4 linked regions of the Arabidopsis thaliana genome follow. The protein of the gene in region 1 interacts with the protein of each later gene in a pairwise test. Each region holds a gene or a part of one and is shown on either strand. Other genes may lie near its edges.

What was found.
Region 2: the proteins of AT5G58720 (region 1) and AT5G61330 interact in a two-hybrid assay, tested with the Arabidopsis thaliana proteins (one large-scale study listed by BioGRID).
Region 3: the proteins of AT5G58720 (region 1) and AT3G09630 interact in a two-hybrid assay, tested with the Arabidopsis thaliana proteins (one large-scale study listed by BioGRID).
Region 4: the proteins of AT5G58720 (region 1) and AT5G02870 interact in a two-hybrid assay, tested with the Arabidopsis thaliana proteins (one large-scale study listed by BioGRID).

Annotation. Positions count from the first base shown.
Region 1 is NC_003076.8:23,719,149-23,725,122, reverse strand, and holds AT5G58720 (smr (Small MutS Related) domain-containing protein), read left to right. Parts: upstream 1-1,947; 5' UTR 1,948-2,148; coding exon 2,149-2,788; intron 2,789-2,977; coding exon 2,978-3,003; intron 3,004-3,127; coding exon 3,128-3,214; intron 3,215-3,310; coding exon 3,311-3,381; intron 3,382-3,702; coding exon 3,703-3,929; intron 3,930-4,182; coding exon 4,183-4,259; intron 4,260-4,332; coding exon 4,333-4,389; intron 4,390-4,473; coding exon 4,474-4,541; intron 4,542-4,626; coding exon 4,627-4,733; coding exon of another isoform or gene 4,734-4,789; exon of another isoform or gene 4,790-4,853; coding exon 4,854-4,924; coding exon of another isoform or gene 4,925-5,014; exon of another isoform or gene 5,015-5,018; coding exon 5,019-5,147; 3' UTR 5,148-5,428; downstream 5,429-5,974. Other genes in the region: Mik (pfkB-like carbohydrate kinase family protein), read left to right, coding at 1-683, 1,320-1,496; ROC7 (rotamase CYP 7), read right to left, coding at 5,628-5,766, 5,938-5,974.
Region 2 is NC_003076.8:24,656,597-24,663,178, reverse strand, and holds AT5G61330 (rRNA processing protein-like protein), read left to right. Parts: upstream 1-1,937; 5' UTR 1,938-2,843; coding exon 2,844-2,859; intron 2,860-2,947; exon of another isoform or gene 2,948-3,058; coding exon 3,059-3,156; intron 3,157-3,240; coding exon 3,241-3,545; intron 3,546-3,892; coding exon 3,893-3,965; intron 3,966-4,097; coding exon 4,098-4,172; intron 4,173-4,249; coding exon 4,250-4,360; intron 4,361-4,470; coding exon 4,471-4,513; intron 4,514-4,597; coding exon 4,598-4,676; intron 4,677-4,828; coding exon 4,829-4,931; intron 4,932-5,016; coding exon 5,017-5,112; intron 5,113-5,225; coding exon 5,226-5,258; intron 5,259-5,362; coding exon 5,363-5,462; intron 5,463-5,588; coding exon 5,589-5,673; intron 5,674-5,765; coding exon 5,766-5,892; 3' UTR 5,893-6,082; downstream 6,083-6,582. Other genes in the region: AT5G61340 (uncharacterized protein), read left to right, coding at 36-1,115; CYP89A3 (cytochrome P450, family 89, subfamily A, polypeptide 3), read left to right, coding at 6,541-6,582.
Region 3 is NC_003074.8:2,951,856-2,956,248, forward strand, and holds AT3G09630 (Ribosomal protein L4/L1 family), read left to right. Parts: upstream 1-1,837; 5' UTR 1,838-1,957; coding exon 1,958-3,064; intron 3,065-3,475; coding exon 3,476-3,589; 3' UTR 3,590-3,883; downstream 3,884-4,393. Other genes in the region: AT3G09620 (P-loop containing nucleoside triphosphate hydrolases superfamily protein), read right to left, coding at 1-353.
Region 4 is NC_003076.8:655,735-660,306, forward strand, and holds AT5G02870 (Ribosomal protein L4/L1 family), read left to right. Parts: upstream 1-1,940; 5' UTR 1,941-2,095; coding exon 2,096-3,205; intron 3,206-3,678; coding exon 3,679-3,792; 3' UTR 3,793-4,066; downstream 4,067-4,572. Other genes in the region: AT5G02860 (Pentatricopeptide repeat (PPR) superfamily protein), read left to right, coding at 1-827.

The sequences.
Region 1 (5,974 bases):
AAGTAGGACACGACTTCAGATACGAGGTCACCCACTCTCCGATCGTGGCTCCGGAGAAGGAAACAACAGTTTTCGAGGCGTATTTCGATCTGGGAATCGATGGGATCGGTCATGCTGATCGGGTGTTGAAAAGAGTCTCTGCATGTGATCCGATTCTTCCTTCGGATATACCCGATTCGAGATTTGATTTCGGAATGGCCGTTGGAGTCGGCGGCGAGATTTTACCGGAGACGCTTGAGAAAATGGTGGAGATCTGTGACGTTGTTGCTGTGGATATTCAAGCTTTGATTAGGGTTTTTGATCCTGTTGACGGAGCTGTGAAGCTTGTTGATTTGAAAGAAAGTGGATTTTATCACATCTTGCATCGAATTGGATTCTTGAAAGCTTCGTCAGACGAAGCTCTTTTCATGGATGTTGAACAAATGAAGCACTTGTGTTGTGTGGTGGTGACTAATGGTGAAAAAGGGTGTAGGATTTATCATAAGGATGATGAAATGACGGTTCCTCCGTTCTTGGCGAAGCAGGTGGATCCTACCGGTGCCGGAGACAGCTTTCTCGGAGGTTTGATTGTTGGGCTTGTTGAAGGTTTGACTGTTCCTGATGCTGCATTGTTAGGGAACCTCTTTGGTTCCATCACTGTAGAGCATATTGGTCAGCCAAAGTTCGATTTGATGATGCTTCAGGTTTGTTTTTTGGTCTCGTATTAGCTTACTGAATTGCATGCTGTGAGAGATTTGCAAATCTAATAGACAGTAGTAAGAACTTTTAGAGCCGATGATAGTGATATGCAAATGTCTTTAACATAATCCTAGCAAAAGAACTCTGTTACATCTTGCAGCTTACTTTCAATACAGCCAAACCTATATCTTGCGGGTGAACTAGAATCTGTATTTGATGTTGATAGGTTTCCAATCTGAAAATGTGTCAAATCTTCACAGTTGTTGTTTGAGATTCTGTCGAGTCACAGCTGCTGAGAGAGTCTTTTCTTGTTTTACTTCATTGTTAATCTAGGAGCAGTTTCATTCAACATAGGGTAGATGCAGGAAAAAGTGTTGTTTAAGCATTCACCGAACAATGTGGTTAAGCAATTAGAGAATTCAAAAGTATGGATCTCTTGATGTATTTGCGAGTGTTTCTGTGTATCTCTTGTAGTTGTATCTGTTGAAATGAGGGCGTTATTGGATAATAATTGAACCATTGGCTAGTGCAAGTGAACATTAAGCAAATTAGAAGATTTATAGCGTTTGTGTTTGCACTGCACAAGGATTCATCCCTTTCATCGGTTATTTCTATGTGACATATGTCTTTGTGATTTGCAGAAAGTCAAGGATGAGGTACAGAGAAGGAAGAAGCAGTGTAACATATCTAGCAGCCATAACAACGATCACAACGAGTTCCATGAGCGTCTAAGTCCAGCTCGGTTTTCATGCGTAGACTCTCAACTTCAACCAAAGTTATTGGTCAATGGTCACTCTTGTGATGATCGGTCCCTGTGAATACGAATCTTGAATCACCTTTTTTTTACTAACAAAGCTCTTCTGAGTTGTGTAAGCTTGCTTCAACACGTTGATGAATTTTGGAAATTTTAATGTATAAAACGCGTTGACCAGCGTCTTCAAACGCTCTTTCTGGTCGTTCCCGCAAAGTTTGTTTATCAACTCCGCGTTTCAAAATTCGAAATGAAGATGTCAAATTTTGTTTTAAAAGTTTTGGATAAGATGATTTGCTATTCGCATGTTGCCACATTATCTAGTTAATATAAAAACCAAAAACAAATCTGAGATAAAATTACGAAAGTCAACGTGGGAGATCTAATTTTGACTGGTGCATAGTTGAACCGGTTCAATATATGTACAATCAGGAGGAAACCGTGTTCGGTGTTTGATTCGTGCGCGTGGATTTAAAACGTGGTCACGATCAGGCGCGTGGATTGACGTGGCGATTCCGATTCCCAATCAAAAGTCTGGACGAGCAAAAAATTTCCTCTGATATTGGCATCTCCATTACTAACTCCTGATTTACGGTTAAAACGCCTCTTCCCTCTCTCCGACGCTTCTCGTCGGAAATCTGGGTTTAAGTTTCTTCTGCAGATCGGAAGAGATTCTATTGAAGCGGCGTTGACACGATTTCATCTATAATTGTACGATAATGAAGCAGAAGAACCAGCATAAGAAGAAGAAGAAGCGATCCTGCGCCGCGAAACCTTCCGGTGATGGAACGACGTCGGACGGGAACAAAAAAGATGTGGAGGAAGAGAGGAAGGACGGTGAAGGAAAGAGGGAGATAGAAAACGTTGGAAAAAATTTTATCGAATCGTTAATGGAAGCCTTTTGCTCGGTTTCAATGGAGGAAGCGATGGCTGCTTATAAGGAAGCAGGCGGAGATCTGAACAAAGCCGCTGAGATTTTATCGGATCTGGTGGAAAGCGGTGATGATCCGTCGACGAGTTCGGTGGCGAGTGGTTCTTCGGGTCAGGAAACAGCGTCTACCTCTGAGTATGGGGCAGGGTCAAGTTCTAGCTGTAGCGAAGATTTGACTAGAGATAGATGGTTTAAGGGAAGCAAGCAGAGTAGAGTTATTGCTGCTACAGGGATGGTTTCTTCTGTGATTGCGAAGGATTACTTGAAGCCAAACCCTGTGCGAAAAGAGTTTCCTATGATGGAACGGTCTAAAGAGCTCTGTGGGAACGGGAAAAAAGCTGCGGATAGAGAGAAAGCTGAACAGTTCTTAAGTTCAATGCTTGGAGATGATTGCGAGCTTAGCATGGCTGTTGTTAGAGATGTTTTGTGTGAGTATTTCTTCTTCTTAGTCAGTTAATTTTTCCATGGGAGAAGATGTTAGTAGAAAAGTATGATCCTTAATAGTTATAGGATTACGTTTTAATGTGTCCGCGATATTCGAAATATAGCCGTAATAATGTTATGAGGAGAGACTAGATTGTTCGATGAATTGACATGGAAGTATCTATTTTTTGTAGGTCAATGTGGCTATGATGTCGACATGGTAAGCAGAGATTGTCTTCAAACTTACATGGGGAAGTATTTAGTATATTGACAGGGAAGCTCCTGAAATATGCTGATACTTGCCCGACTATTTATTTTAAAGCTTAATAGCGTTTTCTTCTTAGGCTTTGAATGTCTTGCTTGACATGTCTTCTTCATCAACTGATGATTCATTGAGTGGTAAATGTTTCGGCATAGGAGTCAGCGATAGTGTAAGTGATTGTTTTTTTTGTTAATCTTCATAGATCTGTTTATTTTGTTTTCTTACACGATAAAATAAAGTGCAATCTCCTGACATTATTTAACAGCTGGCAGAGTCATCTTTTGATACTGATACTTCTGATTGTGAACTTTTCTGGGGTGGAGACTATAGTCAAAGGTACTTCTATTTGCTTCTTAGGCTTTCATCTTGTTATTGCAATTCACTGATTTTGGAATTATCAGAGTTGATTTACACGTTAGTTACAAGATAACGAGCTCTCTGCAACCTCTCCTTATCTTTTAATTAGTCCTTATCCTCTTCTATGAAAGAACAACAAACGAACTATTTCATGGTGGAGGATTCAGTTCATGAACACATGATATCTAAATTACTCATGAGACCGCCAAAACTTACATTATGATTTCTTAATTTCAACATTGTGGACGAGGTCAAAACTAAATATCTGGCCTTTTTTTCTTTTCTTTGTCTGAATGGTAGGGACTACGCAAAAGCTCTCATGAGTTCTCAAGATCCTTTTGCAACTACCCAAGGAATTGATGAGCTTGGTCTTCCACAAAAAGTGTTGGAGTCTCTGTTCAACATTCGCCAGAATCCTAAACATGAATCAAAGACAACGAGTTGGAGGAATGTGGCAAAGAAAATGCAGTCACTTGGCATTGATGCTTCTTCATCTAGTGGGGAAGAGCCTCACCCTAATACGTTTGGTACTTTACTATGGTTTCTTGATTTTAGTATTTGCGTATATAGCTGCAAATAGCATGCTCAATTTGCCATGAGTTTGCCGGCTTCGAGCTTCTGATGTATGTTGTTTTACCTGATGAAACACTTGGCAATTTTTGCTTTGGTGTCATTGGCATAAACATCTGAAGTTTTGACTGCTTGTTTGTGTTGCAACTCTTGAATCAATCTTTCTTACTCATGAATTGCATTACCAATCAATCAGTACGTGTGTTGCAGTGAAGGATGACAGTTATCATGAACTTAGAAAAGGTGCAAATGACCAGTGGAATGTTACGAAGTCCTACTATCAAAAAGTTAGTTTTACTTGCTTCCATATATCTGGCTCTGGTAGACTCCTCAACTAATGCATTTATTAATTGGTTTAAGGCTGCCGAAGCATATTCGAAAGGAGGGAGGGCTCATGCGGCTTACCTTTCTGACAAGGTGCATATCACGGTTTACATATATCATGGTATCATGGCATTTTGTTTGACAGTATGACAGAAACTTGTGTTGTTTTTCTTTTAGGGAAGAGTGGCATCTAAACAAGCTCAACGGGCTGATGAGAGGGCAAGCCAAGATATATTCGTTGCAAGGTTAGCTGTTTTGATGCATTATCAAAGTATGCTGATGCGCTTAAACATTTTGTGGTGGACTAAGCCATTGTTTATGACTATGCAGAAACAAAGGTATAGAGAATGTGGTAACCATTGATCTGCATGGTCAGCATGTTAAACCAGCAATGAAGCTACTGAAGCTACATCTCTTATTTGGATCATATGTTCCTTGTGAGTACTTAGCAAACTCAATTATAAGTCTTTTCTTCTTTAGTAGATCATCATAGTCAGATCTTGTCATCATAAAACCCGAGATAATACCTTCCTCCTAACAATTGTGAAATCATCCAGCCATTCAGACTCTACGAGTGATCACAGGATGTGGAGCTTCTGGGTTTGGGAAGTCTAAGGTGAAACAATCAGTAAGTTTCTTCAACGCCCTTTCACAGCAAAACCGGAGACAAGAATTTAGTATTGCAGTCATGGTATATGATTGTTATTTATGGATATGATCAGGTGGTAAAGCTGCTAGAAAGAGAAGGAGTTAGGTATTGTGAAGAGAACAGAGGGACACTGCTGATCAAGCTTGACGGAGGTAGTAGAGAGTTCAGTTTCTTAGACACAGAGAGTGACTCTGATGAATAAGTGATAACTAAAACTAAAGTCAGGTTTTAGCTTTAGATCTTAAAATTTATGTCGATTTTGTCTATATCTGATGCTAGCTCTCTGTTGTTAAGTAAATGTTGGGCAAAACTTAGCTTCCTTCTTTTTCCTTTCCGTATTTCACGTTATTTAAGTTCTGAAAACACTTTGTCTGACACAGACAGAATGTATATTTTTCGCTAACTCTTCTTTAGGAGTTTACTGATATATATATTATCGTGTAACTTCTATAAATTCTACAAATGTTGACAATGCAAAACGGCATAAGTGCAGAATTTTTGCTACTGAAAGACATTTGTGTATAAAGTCAGACATAGCTCGAGCTAGAAAGCAGACGAAAGAAATAAAGCCGGTAGAATCTTTCATAAAGTAACCAAGACACTCGTTTTAACACAAAAGTCATCAAGCACACTAGAGCTCACATCAATGGATGATCAGATGGAGAAAACTAGAGTTGTTGAGTTACAGGGGAAGCTCACCACTGTCTACAATCACCACTTTACTCTTAGGAGTTCCACTCTGATTTCCTTCAGCTTCGACTTTGTACACCACATCCATTCCTGTCACTACCTTCCCGAATACCACATGTCGCCCATCCAACCTGCAAACTTTCTAATCAGCAGACGGAAACAACATATCGACAATTCTATCCATAATTGAAACTCTTAAGCTTAGAAAGTAGTAACCTGCCCACACAATTGTCAAACAACTTGAAAGTAAAAGATAAGAAACTGGCTTTATGTGTTTGAAATTCAGATGATTCTGTACTCACCAGCTGGTTGTTACAGTTGTGATGAAAAACTGTGATC
Region 2 (6,582 bases), 940 kb from region 1:
AAAAATCATTACATATTTTATATACATATATATAGATGACCTGCATTGAGAAAACCCTTTCAAGATTTGGTGGATCATTCAAGAAACACACATATTCAAACTTCTCCAAAGAAAAGAAAATAGCAAAAACTAGAATGAAGAAGACAATGGAGGATCCAAGCAAGATCATGAGAAGGTCAATTCACACTTTCCTCCAAAACTACCACCGTGTCACCACCGCAGCCGCCGTGGCCCTCCCTTTCTCCGCCGGTCTCCTCCTCTCTCAGCCTTTCTTCTCTTCTTCCTCTTCCACCCTTCACATGAGGCTTAACATGCTCTTCCGCGGAGCGGGTTTCTCTTCTTCTCATGACTTCTTCAACATCTTAAGCCTTAAACTCTCACAAACCCTATCTTCCTCTTTATTCACTCTTCCTTTCTCCCTCACATTCCTCCTTTTATCCAAAGCTTACGTCATCAAACTTCTATCAAACAATCACTCTGCAGATTCCTCCTCTGTTTTCTACCTCCGGCTTCTCAAAACTTACGTTTGCAACTTCTTCTTCCTTCTCTCTGCAAACGCCTCTGCTTTTGCTCTGTTTTTCTTAGCATACAATACCCTTGAAGCCTTTGGATTCTCTTCAAGAAACTTCTACACTTTCCTCTCCCTATCCTCAGCAATCATCTACTCAATTATCATCGCAAACGCCTTTGTCATCTCTAATCTAGCCTTGGTTTCATCACCTTCTTCTTCCTCGGGAGGATACACAAACATCCTCAAGGCGTGTCTTCTGATTCGCGGAAGAAATTCAACAGCAATGGCTCTTGCTCTGCCTACCAATCTCGGCTTAGCAGGAGTCGAAGCCTTGTTTCAGTACCGAGTCATGAGATCTTATTACAATGGAGACAGAGATATCATATCCATAGCTCTTGAAGGAACCTTCATAGCTTACTTATACGCTCTCTTCTTGGTTCTTGACACCATAGTCAACTTCCTCTTTTACCAGAGCTGCATCAAAAACGAGGAAGATCAAAATATCGGTAGAGAAGACGAGTATTCAATCAAGATCCAAATCAGCGAAACAGAGAACACAAAGATACACATCAAAGGATCAAAGAACTTGCAAGAAATCTTGTGACTCTCTTGTGTTGGTTGATGTAATTATTACTTATACAAAAAAAGTGAAAAACTTTATGAGATTATTGATTCTTTAAGGATAATCTCAAGTAGCTTTCACTTCAAAGAAGAGCAAAGGTACACACACAGTAAAGAACAATCACAGGATCTGCAAAACTTTTTCTTCTTCCTCTGTTTCTGCTTTTCTTTATTTTAGTCTCTTTTTTTTCCACATTGTAAAGTCAAATATACCAGAAATTTTAATTAATGCAAATCTTGGAATTCACATTTGGTTAATCCTACAGTATAATTTCATTGCCGACAAAATATATTAATTAGCAATGATTTTGATTACTTCCTTAAGTTATGAAGATGTTGACTAGATTCACACTTTAACAAGAGTGAAGAGTCTTTTGTTTTTGAGCAAGGATAAGTTCAAGCAAAATCTTTCATTACAAAGAGAGAAGAAGAAATGTCACAATTATCTTTAAATAGACGGTAGAGGCGAAAGCAATTGAACTTTTTGTATTTTTCGTTGAATGAAAATCCTAATAATACATTGAAATTGTGTTAATGATAAAAGCTCAACTTAAAAAGACAAAAAATGGCTAGTGGGTGGTCTACATCACTAATCTCTCTACTTGAACCTCTTTAACAAAAAGCCCTTTAATACAATAGTTCAGTACTACCTAAAATTTCTTCTAATGGAGAAATTATGAATGAATCTAATTTACTTTTATAGGTTAAAAAGAGTGGAATCCGGAAATGTTGCATCTAAAGAGATCAAGAAACAATTAAGCACAAAAAGATGAATTTTATAACAAGCAAAATTTTGTAGCTTTCCAAACATACAAAACAATGTAATCATTCATGGTCCATATTTAGGAATTAGGATCAAGGGTTTATAATCCCAGGTCCGACCGACCGAATCGTATAATCTGGTCCTATCAAACCAAAATTAAAACATTTAAACCGGATTTTTGGTTGAACCGGCCGGTTCATGGGTTAAGCGAAACCTCTAGGGTTTTAATATTTCCAGAGTTGGTTGAGAGCTTCTTCTTACTTTTACTTTTCCTCTGCTCGTAGACAGCTTTGTGCTTGAGACGATTCCCAGTTTCTGCGATTCCAAGTCGAAGATATAACCTCTCCTATTTGCGTCTCAGCTTCTACAGAGCTTTTAGGTAAGCTCCTCTGCTTGTATGATTCCTTTTAATTTTCAAAATTCACTGCTTTCTCTTGCGTATCTGCTCAAAGTCTCTCCCTTTTTCATTTAATCGTTTCTCTTCCTGAAACATTCGAACTCATAAACTAGTTTGATTCAAAAGTTTTCTTGCTTTAAACTTGTGTTAGCTCTAGAATGTTGTTCTTTGTAATCTGTTTGTGACATTGTGGTGGAGATGATGAATGTTAAAGTAAAAGGTCTGAGCAGGTTATGAGTAAAGTGTGTGGCTTTTGATGTTTAATTTAGTTACGAGGAGTCAATCTTTGAACTTTATAGGAGAGGGCCCTTGTCCATGTCTTGAGCCATGGCATCTGTGGCTCCGCAACCTCTCCAACAATGAACCTGATTTGTGTGTGCAATCTGATGGGTCGATTTTTAAAGGCTTGGGGTTGCTTTCTATCATTGATTGTCAATCTAGAATTCTCCCTATATACATTTGTCTCCTTGTGCTTCCTTATCACCAATTAGCTACCCTCGTGATTCTGCACTGATCAAAGACCCTTTGACTGATCCACGTGAGCTGTTTTTATGAGATTATCTATAGGTCTCTGTTTTTTTTTTTTTTTTTTTTTTTTTTTTTTTTTTTTATGTTTGAAGCTTTTGACAAAGCTTGTTTGATGGTATGGTTACCTCATTGTTGCTCTATATTTGGTCCTTCTTTATTTGTTTCAATATTTTTATTGCTTAATCCACTGTATAATAGTTTCTCCTTCCTCAATTGAGTTAGTTTTTCGTGATTGCAGCATTAAAAGTTGTTAAAATGGCTGGGGGGTCAAAGAGGTCTAAAAGAGCAAGACTTGACAGTGAATCGGAAGACATAAGCGACCAAGAAAACCTTAAGGTATGTTTATGTTGCTTTTGTCTCGTTTAAGTTATTTAGATGGTATAGGTGAATTTATTTGGTTGAGGGTTCTCTATATTATAGGCCGAAAGCGACAATGAAGATGATCAATTACCTGATGGGATAGAGGATGATGAAGTAGATAGCATGGAAGATGATGAGGGAGAGAGTGAGGAAGACGATGAAGGAGATACCGAGGAAGATGATGAAGGAGATAGCGAGGAAGATGATGAAGGAGAGAACAAGGAAGACGAGGATGGAGAAAGCGAGGACTTTGAAGATGGAAATGATAAAGAGAGTGAGAGTGGCGATGAAGGTAATGATGACAATAAAGATGCTCAGATGGAAGAGCTTGAGAAAGAGGTCAAGGAGCTTCGTTCACAAGAGCAGTAAGATTTCATTTGAACTAATCATTTTTAAATACTGTTATTTCTAAGATAGTGAATTCTTGTATGTGTTTCTTTCTAGAAACGGTAGATAGTCGTATTAAAGTTTCAACTGTTTAATCTAGATCAGCAAGGATGTTGGCTAGATTTAGAAGTAGGTTCGAACTCATTATAGCAATTGGATTTATTCGTGATTAGTAGAAAATATATACGTTTAAAAGGAAAAGAACAGACTTTTGCCAAAAGTTTTTGTCAGATACTGTCTTAATTCGGTTGCATCATTTAATTTTAAATGAACGATTGAGAGGCAAAAGAATGTTCTTTGTGTAATATGCGTGTTCCTGGTATAGGGATATATTGAAGAACTTGAAGCGTGATAAGGGTGAAGATGCTGTTAAAGGTCAAGCGGTGAAGAATCAGAAGGTATGACCTTGTTCTGCGGTTTGCGAAGTAGTCTAACTAGAAATCAGTTGCAGTTGTATATTCCTATTTTATGTTAATGAAGTTGATCTAGAGCGAATTTTTGACAATTCTTTCTTTGTGCTCTATGTAAAGGCTCTTTGGGATAAGATTCTGGAGTTCAGATTCTTACTTCAGAAAGCATTTGATCGTTCAAACAGATTACCACAGGTAAGCTATGCTCTTCTCCTCTTCTATTTATGGTTGTTTGTTTCATCATACTTTATGACAGAAGGTACCCTTTTCAGGAGCCTGTGAAATCGTTATTTTGTTCAGAAGATGAGGATGTCTCAACAGCATATACAGATCTAGTTACTTCATCTAAGAAGACATTAGATTCCCTCTTGGAGTTGCAAGAGGTATGTATGCATAGGCTTGATTCAGTAATTGTATGCTGTCTCTTAGTGTTTTGTCGCTCTGCCACGTTTGTTGACTTTTATTATTATTATCTAAATATGGATTTCTACAGGCTTTGTTTGAGAAGAACCCCTCGGTTGATCAACAAGTGAATGGTATGCCATATTAACAGATAACATAATTATCATCACTATAAGCGAGGGTCAATATAACATCTCCTTTCTTTTTCTATCTGTCAGCAACAGCTAGTGAAGAATCCAATAAATCAGATGCAGAAGATAGCGATGAATGGCAGCGAATATCTGACTTGCAGAAAAGGTATTCAAGACTAAATGTTCAACTGTCCAGCTTTAAAGTTCTGTCCAATCAAAAGAATTCTGTTTAGTAAAGCATGATTGACTTCATTTGGAGACCAGTCTCATAACCATTTATGTTTCATCGTTAACACAAATTTGGTATTTGCTATGTAGAATGTCTGTGTTCCGAAACAAGGCTGTGGACAAATGGCAGAGAAAAACACAAGTCACAACTGGTGCAGCTGCTATTAAAGGAAAGCTCCACGCCTTTAACCAGGTATAGAAAGCAAACTCCGAAGATGATTTTGCTCTTATCTGGGGATCAATCAGGAATCTAACTTTAAATTAATTTTCAAAACCAGAACGTTAGTGAACAGGTTGCTTCCTACATGAGGGATCCAAGTAGAATGATTAAACAGATGCAACAATCAAGATCTACTGTTGCTGTTTTTGGAACTGTAAGTTTTTGCTTTGATAATAAAAGCATAAACCATCTAAGAATTTGGCCTTTGGTGGTCAATAGATCAGCTTCTCTTCAATTTTTCCTGACTTTAAATTTAAACATCCACAGGTCCCTCAGGAAGCCATGGAACCAAATCCAGAGGTAAAATCACGGTTTTCTCTAACCATAAAGAGTATAAACATTTAATCAATCTCATTGATTATCTTGATACCCATTCTCTAACATGTGTACTCTTTCTTGTCCAGGAAAAACAAGAAGAAGGAGACCCTGAACTTGTGGAAGATGCTGAGTTCTATAGGCAGTTACTAAAGGAGTTTCTCGAGACTATCGATCCAGCTTCCTCAGGTATAGTAAAGAAAAACATCCTAGAATCATTAGATATGAAACCCCCCCTAGCGATTGTTATGTCCAACAACTCAAGTGTAAAGAGTCTTTTTTATATTCTGAAATCTCAATATTTGCCATTGGCAGAGGCGGCTTTCTACGAGATGAAGAAGTTCCAGACGAAGAAGAGGAAAGTTGTGGATCGACGTGCCTCAAAGAGCAGAAAGATCAGGTAAATAAAACACACATAGTTTCACCTCTTGGAGGTTTTCTCTTCCCATAATTCTCTCTTTTGAATCATTTTCTTGTAAAAAATCGAAACAGGTATAATGTTCATGAGAAGATTGTCAACTTTATGGCTCCACGACCAGCGAAGATTCCTCCAAACACGGCGGATTTGCTTAAGAATCTCTTCGGTCTCAAGACCAGAAACGTTCAGTCTGAAGCTTAATATCAAACAAACCACAATTTTGAAACGCTGTAATAGATCGTCCCTTTTTCTGTGGTGTGTTGTAATACTACTATTGACACCGTTTCTATCGAAAGCCATATGTGAAAGCATCTAGTTAATTTTTGTTAAAATCCAAATGAAATTTTTGATTAACAACGAAACGAGTATTAAGTAACACAAGAGTTGGATGAATAATCTTCATTATGTAATTTATTTATCTACTTTTATTCTACTTGAAATCTTGATTTCTTTTCATTGGTTGGTGGTACTTGGTAGATATAACATCATAATTGAACTTGTCTTTATCTTCAAAAATAAAAAAAAATCACAAAAGTTCGATGATGTCACAAAAATTCATGTGGGTTTGTGGTTTGGAGTAATGAAGCTAAACGTAGCAAAGAGATCGTATAACTTTCTCCGGAGCTTGGTGTGTCGCCCAAGAAGCAAACAAATCGGATATATTTTCAATTATCCAAACTTATTTCTAAATTATCTGTCTTCCGAACTATAGATATATAAATAAAAACAGTTTATACTTGAGCGTCACGATAGCAAATTGTTATCTGAAGAATTTGCTATATATACGAATTCAAGAGGAAGAATCCTAAAAGCATAACAAAAAAAAAGCAGAGAAAGAATACAAGAAAAATGGCGACATGGTTTCACATCTTCTGCGTCTCTTTCACAGTC
Region 3 (4,393 bases), on another chromosome or scaffold:
TCATTACAATCCTCACGTGACCTCTCCTTTTTCTGTTTCTTCCTACCCTTTTCTTTCTCACGTTCTCTCCTCTCTCTGTCCCTTTTCAGATATTTTCCTCTATCTCTGTCACGTTCTCGGCGTCCTCTTCCCTTGTCCTCCCCTCTGCGTTTACTATCCCTCTCGTATTCTTCTTCTTCAAAATCGCTACTTTTTCTATCCCTCCGTATCCGTATCCTCTCCTCTTCCTCAGAATCGCATCTCTTAACTCTCGAGCGCATCTCCGTCGTATCTCGCCGACCATTCTCTTTCTTACTGCGATCACGATCTTTGCGATCATTTTCCTTCCTGGACTTAGATTTCTCTAACATCATCTCAAACGCAACAAATCCCGATAGAAAATTCCGTAACTTAAACCCAAATTCAAATCAAATTCATCCGCCAAACAAAAGCTTCAACGATAACCCTAAAAATGTTGCGGTGAAGAAGACAAAGCTACCAGAAGAATCAAAACTCTCTACACCGTAACGTTGTAACGTCTCGTTAGTGTCGAGTAACAGAGATAATAAAGCTGTAAGGTTGGGCCCTTATTGGTAAAAGATAAAAGTGAAAACCAGTTATTGGGCTATTTGGGCTTTAGTTAGGTCCACTATTAATCGATATTTTCCTCATGGGCTTCTAAACAACATCGCAAGGTTATTCTATTCAAAATAATTATTCATTTCGTTGATTTCATCTCATGAATGATTTCCTATTATTTATAGTTCATTCCCCAAACCACTCGCATCACAGGCGCGTTGAGCACGTGAGGCTAAAATCCATGGACTATATAACCTTCCTTTTTGGGGATTTTTTGCATAAATTAAAAACTGAGAGGACCTGCAGCGCGTGGGTTGGGATTTCATTTGTTGTGACTACAATTTTTTTTTTTTTTCCCCCAAAGGTCTTTCTGTTTATTGACTTTTTATCATAAGATAAAACGTTACAAAATGGGTTAAACCTATCTAGGTGATTACAAAATTTCAAAAATTGAAACTAAAAAGGCCTAACCCCAATAAAAGGATATCAAACCCAACTTGAAGAGAGGCATTGAAAGCTAAAAGGACTGGACCAAAAACCCAAACGACTACAGTATTCACATGAAAATATAACCAAACGAAAAGAACTATTACCGTGTTTTATCTTTTGCTCAGATTATGGTCCGAAAATATTGTTATCGATTCTTGATTTAGATTAAAAATGAGATAAAACTGTAAAGATTTTCTGAATATTTTGAGGTGTGCATTTTAATAGAAAACGAAGCCGATAGTGAATACACCGAGTTTGATAACTTCACCAAATGACTCGGTGGCAGTGCTAATCAGTAATATCTCACCTGCTTAGGAGCACTTCCATATTTAGGAAAAGAATATGATTTGAAATATTTTGCCATTCAAGATCGAGACTAAAGATTATTTGAACTATAAAGCAAATTTTCACTCTTTAACGCTCCATTTCGTACATTACTTTGATCATTTTTCTTTTTATCTATTTTTTTCGTCGACCGTTTTCTTTGACGATGTTTGTTATATGATTCTAAAAGCATCCACAATGGTAGACTCTTAGCAAAACTCTTAACAAATATTTAAAAAATTATATAATTTAAATATTAGATAAATCTCTTAAATTTGGTAAAACTTAGGTCAATTGTCTCTTAGTTAAGAGACAAATAGTCGGGTTTTATTAGGCCCACTAGTTCGTTAAAGGCTAAAGCAGTGCCCGGTTCTTATAGCGGAGGTAACTTTAAATATTGGGCCCTTACTGAAAGGTAAATTAGTTGGGTTTATTGGGCTTTATTATAAGGCCCACTAATTCAGCAGTAACCCTAACGAAACCCTAGCATATATTAGTTCTTAAACTTCAGCTGAGAGAAAACCCTAATTTCTCAAAGAGTCTAAAGAGACGGAGAGTGAGAGAAGAGAGAAACATTTCGAGACAAATGGCCGCCGCCGCTGCTCGTCCTCTCGTCACCATCCAAACCTTGGATGGTGACATGTCCACCGATCAATCCTCCACCGTCGTACTTCCCGACGTCATGACGGCGCCAGTTCGACCAGACATCGTTAACTTCGTTCACGCCCAAATCTCCAACAACAGCCGTCAGCCATACGCCGTATCGAAGAAGGCCGGTCACCAGACCTCCGCCGAGTCCTGGGGAACCGGACGTGCCGTGTCTCGTATCCCTCGTGTTCCCGGTGGTGGTACTCACCGTGCTGGTCAAGCTGCGTTCGGTAACATGTGTCGTGGTGGTCGTATGTTCGCTCCAACCAAGATCTGGCGCCGCTGGCACCGTCGTGTCAATGTCAACATGAAGCGTCACGCAATCGTCTCAGCTATCGCTGCAACTGCTGTTCCTGCGCTTGTGATGGCTCGTGGTCACAAGATCGAGAATGTTCCTGAGATGCCTCTTGTTGTGAGTGACTCCGCCGAAGCTGTGGAGAAGACCTCAGCTGCGATCAAGGTTTTGAAACAGATCGGTGCTTATGATGATGCTGAGAAGGCAAAGAACAGCATTGGAATCCGTCCTGGTAAAGGTAAAATGAGGAACCGTCGTTACATTTCTAGGAAAGGTCCTCTGGTGGTTTATGGAACTGAAGGATCTAAGATAGTTAAGGCGTTTAGAAACCTTCCTGGTGTTGAGCTTTGTCATGTGGAGAGGCTTAATTTGTTGAAGCTTGCTCCTGGTGGTCACCTTGGTCGGTTTGTGATCTGGACCAAGTCTGCCTTTGAGAAGCTTGAGTCTATCTATGGTTCGTTTGAGAAGCCATCAGAGAAGAAGAAGGGGTATGTGCTTCCTCGTGCAAAGATGGTGAATGCTGATCTTGCCAGGATTATCAATTCAGATGAGATTCAGAGTGTTGTGAATCCGATCAAGAAGGATGCGAAGAGGGCTGTTCTTAAGAAGAATCCATTGAAGAATCTCAATGTGATGTTGAAGTTGAATCCTTATGCTAAGACCGCGAAGAGGATGTCACTGTTAGCTGAAGCACAGAGAGTTAAGGCTAAGAAGGAGAAGCTCGCCAAGAAGAGGAAAACCGTTACCAAGGTAATCTCAATACTTGACTTGTTCTCTTATCAACCGTTTTTGGATTGTCTTTGTTTAGTTACTGATTACATTTTGATCTGTGGTTGCATTTCATTTGACTTAACTTATATTGCAATTGTTCTAATTGACTGAGTTTGTGTATGTTAAGCTATACAATAATCTGTTCCCCTCTGGTTTAGTCTATGACTATAGTAGTCTTTCTTTACTAGATCTTACCTTTTCTGTTCTGAATTGTGGTCTAGTAGTTTGTCTTGTAAATCTGTTGTGTACGATTCTTTGTCTTGATATTGATTTTAGGTTGAGCTATTAAGCAATTGAATCTCTTAGCACTTTCTTGTCCCTTGTGAAAATTGTTCTTCATATGTCCTCTTTTCTAACTCCACTTTGAAATATCTATTTTTCTTACATCAGGAGGAGGCGTTGGCAATCAAAGCAGCAGGCAAGTCGTGGTACAAGACTATGATCTCCGACAGTGATTACACCGAGTTTGATAACTTCACCAAATGGCTCGGTGCTAGCCAGTAATAATCTCGTCTGCTTTGGAACACTTTCCATATTTTAGTCAAAAGATTTTGGTTTTTTTAATCTGTTTTGTCTTTGGGTGTCTGGATATCAAGTTGAATTATGAACAAGTTTCACTTTTTTACATCTCCATTTCTTACTTCGCCTTTATCAGTTTCATTTATTTATCTCTTGCTCCTTCGTTTCCTATGATGATGCTTGTTATGTTATGAACCTACTTAAAAACAAGCTGAAGCTTTCTTTGGTTTACCCCAGCAGAAACATTAATCAAGTTCAATTGATCAATATGTCGATTGATTTACTGTTTAAAGGCATAGTGTGTCTATCAACCCTTAAGTCTTTTTGGTGGATAGTGAAGCTCAAACCCAATTCAAATGTCGATCAACCCTAACGTTTTTGTGCTCGATAGTAAAGCATGAGTATAAAAAGAACGTCGCTTCTTCCTACAATCACACAGATCATTTGAAGCTTTGATTAGTTGGTACAACATACTCGAGGAATACAGAATGACACGTGGTGTGTATCTGTTGGATAAATTTGTATTATTCTTCTTTACTATGGATGGTTTCTGGAAGGCGCGCCAAGAGTCCTTCTTTTTCCATCTACAAATCATGACCGTCCATCTCCAAAAGAAGACTGAAACAGTGAAACTAGAAGCTTCATTTTGATCATCAGCCAGTTTTATAAATTGATCCGTATACTAAAGTAACAACTACTAGCACTTTCTTCTGTGATCGATCATTGTGTTTAAACTAAAGGTTTGTATGTTCTTGTAATCTTATTGATCTCGATAGGTTCTCCATTCTC
Region 4 (4,572 bases), about 23 Mb from region 1:
AAGTTCTTGCAGAGATGGAGGATGGTCGGTGCAAACCAAATGAATTAACTTACTGCTCTCTACTTCATGCATATGCAAATGGCAAGGAGATTGGTCTGATGCATTCTCTAGCAGAAGAGGTTTATTCTGGAGTTATCGAGCCTCGAGCTGTGCTTTTGAAGACCCTTGTCTTGGTTTGTAGTAAGTGTGATCTTTTGCCAGAGGCTGAACGTGCATTCTCTGAGCTCAAAGAAAGAGGGTTTTCACCAGACATAACCACATTAAATTCCATGGTCTCCATATATGGAAGAAGGCAGATGGTGGCAAAGGCGAACGGAGTCTTGGACTACATGAAAGAAAGGGGTTTCACACCAAGCATGGCGACCTACAATAGCCTCATGTATATGCATAGTCGGTCTGCAGATTTCGGAAAATCAGAGGAAATCTTGAGGGAAATACTGGCTAAGGGGATCAAGCCAGACATCATATCGTACAACACAGTCATTTACGCCTATTGTAGAAATACTCGGATGAGAGATGCATCTAGAATATTTTCAGAGATGAGGAATTCAGGGATTGTCCCTGATGTTATCACCTACAATACGTTTATTGGTTCTTATGCAGCTGACTCAATGTTTGAGGAGGCCATCGGCGTCGTTAGGTACATGATCAAGCATGGTTGTAGACCAAACCAGAACACCTACAACTCCATTGTCGATGGATACTGCAAGCTAAACAGGAAAGATGAGGCAAAACTTTTTGTCGAAGATCTGAGGAATCTTGATCCCCATGCTCCCAAAGGCGAGGATCTTAGGTTGCTGGAACGGATAGTGAAGAAGTGGCCATAGATAATTGTTGATGAGAAACCTCACAGTAAACTTGTCAAACCCTGACTTCAGATCTGCTGTAAGTGTTAATTTTTATCATAACTTTCATGCTCGTTGAGCATGTGAGGCACCTTTTTTTCTTTTCTTGTTTGTACTTGAGAGAGAAAAAGTCCCACTATTTGCCTTCAAATTTAAATAAGGATAAACTGTTAGAAATAAGAATATTTCATTGTTAGTGTGTTACATCTGTAACCATTCCAATGACTGAAGGAGTATTGTTGCCCTTTGTGAAATATGTAGACACATCAACTGCTGACTTCTGGACTGATTTCAATCTAACTTTAAAATAGTCTGAACACTTTGTTGCTGCAGAGGAAGGTCCTAAACACTTAAGCTCGTAGCTGTTAGTGCAGGATCCGTGGTGAAGAACTCAACAAGTGATATATCTTCTTGGTGACTCATAGTAAGAATTATCTGCATAAGAGCTTCAATGTTTCTCAGCTCTCACTGTAGTTACCGTCTCACATGATCTTAAACTTGATAGTAAGAATTGTCTGTGAATCGGATTGTATTGACCATAACTGTTAGAATCTCAGCGTAGCTGCTATAAGCCTGATCATGTTCTCGAAAGAGTTATTATGGCTCTTACCTAATGGCTATTTGATTTCTGCATTAGGTGTATCGTGTCAGATGCTTCTCACGGTTGTTGTCTGAGAAGAACATAACTGAGGCGTCACACACAAGAGGGACATACGGCAGTATCGGTCAAAACCAGTTTTTCCGGGGAATGGTATATATATATATATATGAGTCAATGTGTCTAGAAAATGGTTACCAATGGTATTTTCTTTTTGATATTTGTTCCTGTGTTTTGTACTTTCTCTGATTTGGTTATCTATTTAACCAAAAGCAATGTAACACAGCTAGCAAACCAAGGCAGCTAACAGTAAATGCCAACGTCCATGTTATTGTCTCGAGCCTTTTTGTTGTTCTTATTGTCAATAACCAATATCCCTAAACCCGGTTAACAATAGTCGGGAAACCGAACCGTATTGGTGGATCCTATCAAATCAAAGCAAACCAGAACAGATAAACGAATTGAACCAAATCAGAGCTAAACCGAAAAAATGCAACTTGAAATTCTGCTGGACCTACATTGGGCCTTTCGGCCTGTATAAATTTCCACAATTTACGGTAATACCCTTGTAAGAAACCCTAAGTAATAATGATGTGCTTTAAAAGCGCACAGCCTCACTTCCAAACCCTTCGTTTACAGCAAAAAATCGAAAATGGTTGCCTCAGCCGCCGCACGACCTCTTGTCACCGTCCAAGGACTTGACGGTGACATGAGCACCGATCAATCCACCACCGTCACTTTACCAGACGTCATGACTGCTCCAGTTCGACCTGACATTGTCAACTTCGTCCACGCCCAAATCTCCAACAACAGCCGTCAGCCTTACGCAGTCTCCAAAAAGGCCGGTCACCAAACCTCCGCCGAGTCCTGGGGAACCGGAAGAGCCGTGTCACGTATCCCTCGTGTTCCTGGTGGTGGAACTCACCGTGCCGGTCAAGCAGCGTTCGGAAACATGTGTCGTGGTGGTCGTATGTTTGCTCCGACTAAGATCTGGAGACGCTGGCACCGTCGTGTCAATGTCAACATGAAGAGGCACGCGATTGTTTCTGCAATCGCTGCTACTGCTGTTCCAGCTCTTGTGATGGCTCGTGGTCACAAGATCGAGAATGTTCCTGAGATGCCTCTTGTTGTTAGCGACTCAGCTGAAGCTGTGGAGAAGACATCAGCTGCGATCAAGGTATTGAAGCAGATCGGTGCTTACGACGATGCGGAGAAAGCTAAGAACAGTATTGGAATTCGTCCTGGTAAAGGTAAAATGAGGAATCGTCGTTACATTTCTAGGAAAGGTCCTCTTGTTGTGTTTGGAACTGAAGGAGCCAAGATTGTGAAAGCTTTTAGGAATCTTCCTGGTGTTGAGCTTTGTCACGTTGAGAGGCTTAACTTGTTGAAATTAGCCCCTGGTGGTCACCTTGGTAGGTTTGTGATTTGGACTAAGTCTGCTTTTGAGAAGCTTGAATCTATCTATGGCTCGTTTGAGAAACCATCAGAGAAGAAGAAGGGTTACGTCTTGCCTCGTGCGAAGATGGTGAATGCTGATCTTGCTAGGATTATTAACTCCGATGAGGTACAGAGTGTGGTGAACCCGATTAAGGATGGTTCCAAGAGAGCGGTTCTGAAGAAGAATCCATTGAAGAACCTTAATGTGATGTTCAAGTTGAATCCTTATGCTAAGACCGCAAAGAGAATGTCTCTGTTGGCTGAAGCTTCAAGGGTTAAGGCTAAGAAGGAGAAGCTCGAGAAGAAGAGGAAAGTCGTCACTAAGGTAAACTCAATGCTCTCTTTTCTCTATGCCTGTCTTTATAACTTGAGTGTCTATTGCATATGGTGGTGATATAACATACACAAATTCCAAAGCTTTTGATTTAGATTGTGTTTGTTCATTACTGTGCTATGCATGATTCACAGTTAGTTTGAGTTTGGAAAAAAAAATTATGAAGTATTCTTATTGTGTTGACCTTGATGGAGTCATATGCATTGCAAATCAGTTGTGGTCTTTGATGTTATTTGGGAATGGTTCTTTGATTGTTTAAGATTGGTTTTGCGGTTACTCATATTCGTTTGTGTCATTTTCATTAACACTTCTGCTGTCCTAAACGACATGATTAACATGATTCAGTTCACTTGTGTACTCGAACCGCCAGCTTTATTGAGATTTTGTATAGTTTTTACTGGTTGCGTGACTGATCAAAAAGTTGTCTCTTTTCTTAATCTTATTTTTTTCCTTCTTTACTGTAGGAGGAGGCCCAAGCGATCAAAGCAGCAGGCAAGGCTTGGTATCAGACTATGATTTCAGACAGTGACTACACCGAGTTCGATAACTTCACCAAGTGGCTTGGCGCTAGTCAGTAATGATGCTCTCGTCATCGCAAAGTCTCTTATATCTAGGCAAAGATTTTGGTTTTCTGATTTATGTTCTTCGTTTGTATTGGATTTATCTGGGATTTTATGTTGTTGAGTTGGTAAGACGATTTTTAAGAACTATGATGGTGTTTTTCAAACTCTTTTCAATCTGTTTCCCTTAGTGCTCTTTACTCGCTATTCAAATTCCTCCATTTGAATATTTGATGATGATCATCTTATCAAACAAGCGCCATGAGTTGATAAGAATAACTGGAACTTCAACTTTATTAGTTATTGCACACAACTCTACACTCAATCGAATAATGTAGATAGTCCATCTTGACTCCAACCAATCGAAAATACGTGCCTCAGGCCCTTTAGTCCCGAACTATGTGTTGTCTTACTTCCACTGGAAAATTAAAAAAAAAAAAGACTTGAGCCTCAAGTTTTCTTATACAGTGGGATAAAATTATAAGCAGCCTTTGCTTGTATGTTGGGAAAGGTTGCTCTTTGACTTCGATCGATGACTTGAACAGATTTGTCCAACTTACAGGAATCCCTGTAACTAGTGCATTGTTTGGACTTGGCTCTTACCTTTACGACGACGATTTTTCCTTGCAAATGTTTAGAATTCAGCAGCAGGGGACGATGGTGTATGCAGATCACGCTTGACGCTTTGGAAAACTGCGATCTTTTGCTCGCTTTTGGGGTTGAAGGTAAGGCCTTCCGCCCTTCCCATTCCCTAGCAAAGCGAAAGCGAAAGCTAAAATTGTTCATATCGACATTGAC